Canis lupus familiaris: one gene and its partner. The protein of the gene in region 1 purifies or fractionates together with the protein of each later gene. This does not show direct contact. Links are inferred from orthologs where the notes say so. Each region holds a gene or a part of one and is shown in the gene's direction. Other genes may lie near its edges.

Evidence for each region.
Region 2: the proteins of VTI1A (region 1) and VAMP4 purify together in Homo sapiens (affinity purification with mass spectrometry; 4 studies listed by BioGRID and IntAct, counting the BioPlex papers as one, with this or other methods). This does not show direct contact. The link is inferred for Canis lupus familiaris from reciprocal best matches to the Homo sapiens genes VTI1A and VAMP4.

What each region holds. Positions count from the first base shown.
Region 1 is NC_049249.1:23,792,574-23,796,499, forward strand, and holds the start of VTI1A (vesicle transport through interaction with t-SNAREs homolog 1A), read left to right. Parts: upstream 1-1,126; 5' UTR 1,127-1,306; coding exon 1,307-1,400; intron 1,401-3,926. UniProt on the Homo sapiens protein: V-SNARE that mediates vesicle transport pathways through interactions with t-SNAREs on the target membrane. These interactions are proposed to mediate aspects of the specificity of vesicle trafficking and to promote fusion of the lipid bilayers.
Region 2 is NC_049228.1:27,206,140-27,210,271, forward strand, and holds the start of VAMP4 (vesicle-associated membrane protein 4), read left to right. Parts: upstream 1-1,332; coding exon 1,333-1,398; intron 1,399-4,132. UniProt on the Homo sapiens protein: Involved in the pathway that functions to remove an inhibitor (probably synaptotagmin-4) of calcium-triggered exocytosis during the maturation of secretory granules.

The sequences.
Region 1 (3,926 bases):
GTCGCTGAAATCCTTTTACGAAGTTTCAAACAGCCTCCAACAACCGAGGCTCGATTCGCCAGGTAGGAGGAGCCCGACACGGTCTACACGTTGGCCTGGGCTCGCGCCAAAACACCCAACTTAAGGGTCTATTTGGGCCGAAGGTTAAGAGGCGAGCCAGTGAAAGCAAAGACAGAGTGAAAGGAGGGGAGGGGACGGGCCTCGAGGAACACAGGAGGATGAACACGAAAGAAAATATTTGGGGGAAAAGAAAGAAAAACAAAACAAAACAAAACACGATGAGGAAGTGCCTCCGGAGCGAGGGACAGGAAAGGCAGGATGCAGGGCGCCGGAAGACCCGTGGAAGGGTGTGTCGGGCTGGGCAGCCGTGGATCGGCGGGAGGATCTCGGCTGCAGGGTCATAAGGGGCTTCGCGCAACAGATGCCACGGCTCGAGCCTCAATTTCCCGCCCGCGCCGCAGAACAGAGCGCTTCCAGGTTCTCGCTCGGGGACGAGCATCCCGCCCAGCGTGGTTGGTTTCAACATTCTGGAGCTTCTGGGCTCACTCGGGGGGGGGGGGGGCGGGGCGAATCACCGCCCGAATCATGATTCCATCCCTTGCCTGGACTCCCACCTCTCAGCCTGGTCCTCGGTACCCGCTCCTCGGCCATCGCATTTCCGGGGCGGCCTGGGCTCACCCGGAACGGGTCTTCTCCTCCGCCGACAACCCCGTCACGGGAAAGTCAGGCCCGCGCAAGCAGTAAAGCAGATCTCGGTTGTCCGGGGCTGCAGCGCGGAGCCCGCCGCGCCGCCAGCGCGTCTCCCCAGCCGGCGCTCCGGCCGCTGCTCTCCCGCTCCCGCCCAGTGCGCGGTCCCCGCGACAGCCACTTCCGGGAGGTTCGCCGCATCAGACTTCCCTCGGGAAGCAAGTTCCTGCGACTTAGAGCTCTATTTTCAGGAGATAGAAGGGCCAAAAAAAAAAAAAAAAGCTTCCAGTGACCCCCCCCCCCCAAGAATCCTCAGGTTTCCGAAAGCTTCTTGTTGGGGGAGGGGGGGCAGTAATAGAAGCGCTATTCTTTCGCGAATTTTTAAATCTTGAAGCCCGAGCGGACAAAAAACAACGCACCCAAGGCAAATTCCGGGGCGGGTGGGGGGGACTGTGATTGCGACGAACAACCAGGAAGCGGCCGGGTTGGGAGCTGTCCCCGGTTCTCCCCGCTCTGCTCCCGAGGCCGCCTCCCGGGGTCCTGACACCGCGTTCCTCTGTCCCGCGTGGCCCCTGCCACGACCTGGGCTCCGGCCCGGGGCCGTCACTCCGGAGCCGCCATGTCATCCGACTTCGAAGGCTACGAGCAGGACTTCGCGGTGCTCACGGCAGAGATCACCGGCAAGATTGCGAGGGTCCCCCGACTCCCACCTGGTGAGAGCCCTGACCCGGCGGGCGGGGGTGGCCCCGGGGGCGCCGAGGCTCGGGGGCGGGGCGGGGGAGCGTCTCTAAGGCGCCAGGTGGTGCCGGGGCCCTCGCGGAGCGACGCAGCTGCACTCGGCGCAGGGTTAAGGGACCGTCCGGGCTGGCTCGTGGAGCGCCGGGACGCCCCGTCCCTTGCACTACCTTGGGCACGTTTCTCGGAGTCCTCGGTTTTCGTGTTGTTTTTTTGTCTCGTTTGTGAAAGGGAGATGCGAGTTTTCAAACGGAGCGAGTGGATGCATCAAGATCATGGGTCCAAAAAAAAAAAAAAAATTGAGAAAACAACAACAACAACAACAACAACAACATGGGTCTGCGATACACAGTCCTGTTGTTTTGTTAGCAATGATAGTATCCCAGGTGGCAGAACAGGCCGGTTAAGAGCCACGGTGCCAGGGTTCGGATCCCAGCTCTGTCACTTAAAAGTCGGGGCACTTAGGAAAGTTTCTTAATTAAAAAAAAAAAAAAAAAAAAAAAAAAAAAAAAAAAACAAAGGAAAGTTTGTTAAACCTCTCTCAGCTTTCTCCTTCTTGGTCAGTAGGGGAGAGCTAGCCGTACGTCTCTCTCGTGGAGTTGTGGAGATTAAATGATTTAACATACGAAAAGCCCTGTTTTGGTGCAAGCTGCTATTAGTATCTTTCACACACCCCTCCACCCCACTTCTTATTTCTCATCCTTCTTGGGAGACCGTAACCCAATTTTCTGTAACACCTGGTACAGTTTTTCTCGCTTTAGAAATTCCACGTATCCTACCTATAAGTGTTCTTGATTTTGTTTTTGTGGGTTTTTAAATTTTTTTGATATTTTATTTATTTATTTATTTATTATTTATTTATTTATTTATTTATTTATTAATTAGAGCTATGGGCACAGGGGCAAAGGACAGAGGGAGAAGGAGAAGACTCACCCCCCGAGCAGGGAGCCGCCTGCCAAAGGGCTCCATCCCAGGACCTGGGATCATGACCTGAGTTGAAGGCAGACACTTAACCAGCTGAGCCACCCAGGCTCCCCTTGTTTTTGTGTTTTAGCATGACTTACTTTCCATGCTCAACTGTCAACTTGGCATTTACCTAGAAAGGGCTCAGAAAAAATGTTAAAGTAAATGAACCGATGAATATGATATTTGGTAATTTTTTTTTGTTATGTGAGACACTGGTTTAGGATTTATCTTTCCCTAAATACAGATTTAACTTGAGTGGTTAGCTACAGATAGGATTACTACTTTTAGCTTAGTTTTGTTAAGGAAATTGAACCATCGTCTGGATTTGGGCCTACCTGGCTCTGGGGTGTAGTGCGTAGAAAAGGGGATGCTCACTGATCTGTGAACTGGTGGGCAGCTTCCTGTTTCCCACCTCCTTAGTCAATCCTTGATGTCAGCAGTAATCTCTGCAGGACCTAAGTTGACATTCCTATTTCCCTTTCCCTACTTCCCCCAAACGTGCGTGTTTATAAATAATTTTCTTCCTTTATTTGTTTTTCTTTCCCCTTCCCTCACCTATTTTCTATTAATAGGGACATTTGCTTGAAACCAGGATCTCTGAACTTACACCCCACTCATCTCCTGAAGTCCCAGTTAGTTCTGGAGAGGTGGATGATGTCTTAAAGAGGTTTATGAGCCCAAGTGAGGGAACAGGAGGAGAAAACCAAGGTAGCATATATCACCGAGCTCTGCTGCCTCAGAGATTTTTGTGGAGAAAATAGCTGATGGCCTCATCACTTCATGATACATCACCTCGCCTCTTCTCTTCAGTTCTGCCTTTCTCCACTGCCCAAGACCATCTTGATTTTTATTATCCTTGTTGCTGGAGACTACTTCCTTTGACTTGAGTCCCAGAGTTTCAGGACTTGTGATTTTAGTTGGATTTTTGTTCATTTTTAATTGTAACAGTTTTAAAAGAGAAGCATTTTCTATTTGGGCTAATAGATTTTTGTACTGGGAAGATGTTTTATATAAAGTAACAAAGTCATCCATGGGTGCAAAGTTGTAAAACCTGTTTCTAAGAAAACAGATTTTGTTACAATTGATTTTTTTTTCTTGTCTTTATGTTTTAATGTAACTATTCTTACTATATAGAAGGAAACCTTTAAGTGCCTTAAAAATAAAGGCTTGACTTGGCCTTGCATATGGTATAATGTAAAGCCCAAACATAGGAGCTCCAGTGGAATTGAAAGAAGACTGTTTAGCTGGCAATGGAAAAATGCTTACTGATTTGACTAATTGAATGACAGTAATTCTTTAAAAATGTAGTAGTTTCCCTGTTAATAGTTACTTATGCTTGCTCCCTTTATAATCTGTTTCTAATTGATAAATAGAAAAGGATGAATGAAAAGTATATCCATGTCGTTATGCATTTCAGATATAGGTCTGTGGACTAACAATATGTACCACTATTTAAAAAGTATAATTAAAAGTAATTATAATCTCTTTCTGAATAGCATTAGTGGTTGATCTAGAGGAGATAAACTATAATTTACTTG
Region 2 (4,132 bases), on another chromosome or scaffold:
TCTAGAGCTGTTACTTAGGTAGCAAGATTTGATTTTTGTTACAAGTGGTTAAGTTTTTTGTTTAGAAGCATTTCTTATCAAAGAAGACTGTCAATTTGTTTCGATAGGAAACCAACTTAAAATAAATACTTTTGTTTGGTTTATGAGACTAAACTCTGGGCTAGTATATAATATTAGCCAGCGAACTGATGTCTAATTATACTTAAAGATCTTAAAGAGTTGTTTCTTCTCATGAAAAGGAAGAGAGGGCTCCTGGTTTCTAATAGGGAAGTAGTCTTTCTAGAACAGAACCTGAAAGGCAATTAGTTGAGTAAATATTAAAACCGATCATGCATAGCCATTGATTAATTTGAACCTGTGTTTCTGCTGTTTCAATCAGTAGTGTTACGTATCTTTATTAGGGCTTGGTTCTCTCTTAGTTTCTTAGTGCCTACTTTAAAGGAGTGTCATAAAAACTAAAAGAAAATACATGTAAATCCCTGAGCACAGCACCTACCACAGAGTAAAAGATTCAGTACCTTAGCTATTCGCATTTTTCATCTATCTTCTACTCCAAGATACTGAAAACTAAATTTGCATGTCAGCTTTTTCTCAAGAAAATTTGAATAAACTGCATAGTCAAGCATTTTCCTGGAAAATCACAATGCATATTAACATATAACAAGCTGAGACTTTCTGTAGCAAAAAAAATAAAACTAAAAAGCCTGTCTCTGTTTAACCCACTACTTACTTTATCCTTTTCTTGGAGTCTGGTGCTGTGCTTTAGTATAGGATGTTATAACTTACACAATATTTTTATGTATTACCTGATTTGACCATCCAAACTTCACGTGGATACCTAGAAATCACTATTTTACAGATGAAGAAACTGAATAATTGTTTAATCGACTAACTAAAAAATGTGAAAAGACAGGAGTGTTCTGCTGTCTGTTAATTCCAGGTTAAAAATTTTAAAGCATTTAATGTCTCATTTTCTCCTAATTTCTCCCCTCTCTTAAGCAATCCACTCTTGAATTTTGTAAAAACTTTTCACTAGTTTCCCCTACATGTTCTCTTTTAAAAGTTACACCTATTTTAATAGTTTTAACTATTTTTTAATGTATTGAGGCCTGGCGTGGAGGACAGGATCACGTGGAATGAAGCAAAGGCGGAAGGCGGGTAGTTTGAAGTCAGAGAAGTGAAGGAGGCTCCATTGTACAAGGCCTTGAACACTATTTAAGTAATTTATCTTGTGCCCCCAAAATCTCGAATCAGATGGAATTTATTTTTCTCTTCAAGGTGGCGAATACTTACTCTGCTGGGAAACAGAAGAGTACTTCTTGAGTAAAAAGTATGCCTCCCAAGTTCAAGCGCCACCTAAATGATGATGATGTCACTGGTTCTGTGAAAAGTGAAAGGGTGAGTTTAGAATCTTAATTTCTCAAACAGATTCAAATAAGTTTTTATTCCTTTTTCTAGTCTTTCAAAGTGAATTTTATACAAGTACAGAGCATCTTATTCAGAACTCTGGAACAGAATATGACTGGAATTCAGAGTTTTTCAGATTTTAGAAAGATAGTTAAGTGCATATTATATAATAGCCTTTTTGCATCTGGAGCAGCACCTCCAAAAATATTAGTATTTCTCGGAGAAATGTTTGATTACTGGGGGCCTGTGTGAGGCAGTCGGTTCCGCATTGGGCTCTTGGTTTCGGCTCAGGTCATGATTATCAGGGCTATGAGATCAAGCTCTGAGTCAGGCTTTGCATTGGGTGTAGAGCCTGCTTAAGTTTCTCTCTTTCCTCCTCCTCTCCCCATCTCTCCCACGCTAAAAAAAAAAAAAAAAAAAAGAAAAAAGAAAGAAATGTCTCATTGCTGTAAGTGTATAAGTAAAGCATATAAATAAATTAGCTAGCATCAATTCAGGTCAGGTTTTCCTACAAATATGTTTTGGCTTCAAACTTACGAAACCTTGATTTTCAGAACTTTTTAGATTTTTGGAATTTCAGATAAAGGATTTTAGTTCTATAATTGTCTCAGAGTCTAGAGTGTTTTTTATATAGTGTTCAATTTCTGATTTATCCCAGAACATTCTATGCAGATATGTGTACATCTAGAAGTTTTGCAGAATCTTGAAAAGATAGCATTTGAAAGGAATGTGGTAGATAGGTTACTTTTAAAATAAGTACTCAAGAAATACTTATTGAGGAAAGGAATTAGTCTTTTTCTTTTTTATCTAGCAACCTGAAGCCCTCACTCACTTCCTATCTTATTACTGTTCCTTCATTTACTGATTCATTTATTGACCACCTGCCATTGTGCTAAAAAACTGGAGGGCATAGTCTGCTTGACTTTATTTTACACATTCCTGTTTTGTACAAGCTCTGAATCTCATTATTCACTCTTTCCAACATCTTATGATGTAAAAGTGTCTTTTAGTACAATATGGGAAACATTTGTGTTTTCATTATTTTTTTTTTAAGATTTTATTTATTCATGAGAGACACAGAGAGGCAGAGAGAGAGGCAGTGGGAGAATCAGGCATCCCGTGGAGAGCCCAATCTAGAACTTGATCCCAGGACCCTGGGATCACAACCTTAGCCAAAAGCAGAGGCCCAGCCACTGAGCCACCCAGGCATCCCTGTCTTTTCCTTATTCTAACTCTCTTTGTGGTTTGTTTTTTACTTAAAGGGGTAGAATCCACCAATAGACAATTGCTAGGAAGCTTTTCAAAATAAGTTTTATGTATATACTTAAAATTAAAAATATAGTCTCAATTCCACTGCTAAGACTATAACTATGGCACTTTCTTTTTATGTTGTTGGTTGGTTACTACCACAATTTATTGTAAAAATAGGATATTGAACCAGAATTGAATAAAACTGGCTATTTAAATAGAGACCTCTTTTTGAATGTGTATTAGATGGTGAAATTTGATAACTGATTCTAATAATTTATGAATTACTTTTAAGAACTTTAAAGTGTAGTTCTACTTTTCTTTAGTAACAGCTTTATTGAGCTGTAATTCACATGCCATACAATTAACTTTTAAAGTGTACAATTCAGTGGTTTTTAGTGTATCTGCAGAATTGTGCAACTATCACCGCAGTCAACCTTAGAACATTTTCATCATTGTAAAAAAGAAATCCTGTATCTTTTAGCATTTGTCCTCCATTCTTCTCATCCTCTCAACTCTAGACAACCACCAGTCTATAGATTTGTCTACTCTGGGCATTTTATATAAATGGAATCCTACAATCTGTTGTCTCTGTAATTGGCTTTTTGGATTTAAATCATGTTTTTGAAGTTCATCCATGTTGTAACATGTGTCGGTATCCCATTCCTTTTTACTGCTGAATAATATCACAGTAAATGGATATATCACATCCATTCATCATTGTTGGACATTCAGGTTTTTTGGGAATATTAATGATTTTTTTCATACTACTTCTGGCTGTTGGCTTTTTGGCTATTTGACTGTTAAGAAGAACAGTGCTGTTGGGGTGCCTGGGTGGCACAGTTAGGCAGCCACCTCTTGGTTTTGGCTCAGGTCGTGAGATCAAGCCTTCCCGTCGGCCTCCACACTCAGCATGAAATCTGCTAAAGACTTTTTCTCCCTCTCATTCTGCCCCTTCCCCCTCCCCACATACATGCACAGTGCTTTTTCTCTCTAAAATAAATAAATCTTTAAAAAATAAAATAAAATAAATAAATAAAATAAAATAAAATAATCTTAAAAGAAAAAATAGCAGTGCTGGAGCACCTGGGTGGCTTAGTCAAGTGAGCATCTGACTCTTGATTTCAGCTCAGGTCATGATCCCAGAGTCGTGAGATTGAGTGCCACATTGGGCTCCACATGAGTTTGGGGTCTGCTTGAGATTCTCTCTTCCTCTCCCTCTGCCCTGTTCTCCCCTGACTGCCCCCAAACACTTGTATTCTCTCTCAAATAAATAAGTCTTTAAAAAAAAAAAAATAGCAGTGCTATGAACATTCAAATGCAAGTTTTGAACATGTTTCCATTTCTCTTGTTCGAACACCTAGGAGTGGGATTGCTGGGTTAGTTATGATCAATCTCTAGAAGAATTGCCAGATTGTTTTCTAAAGTGCCTGCATAATTTTTGCATTCCCATCAGCAGTGTATGTGGATTCCATTT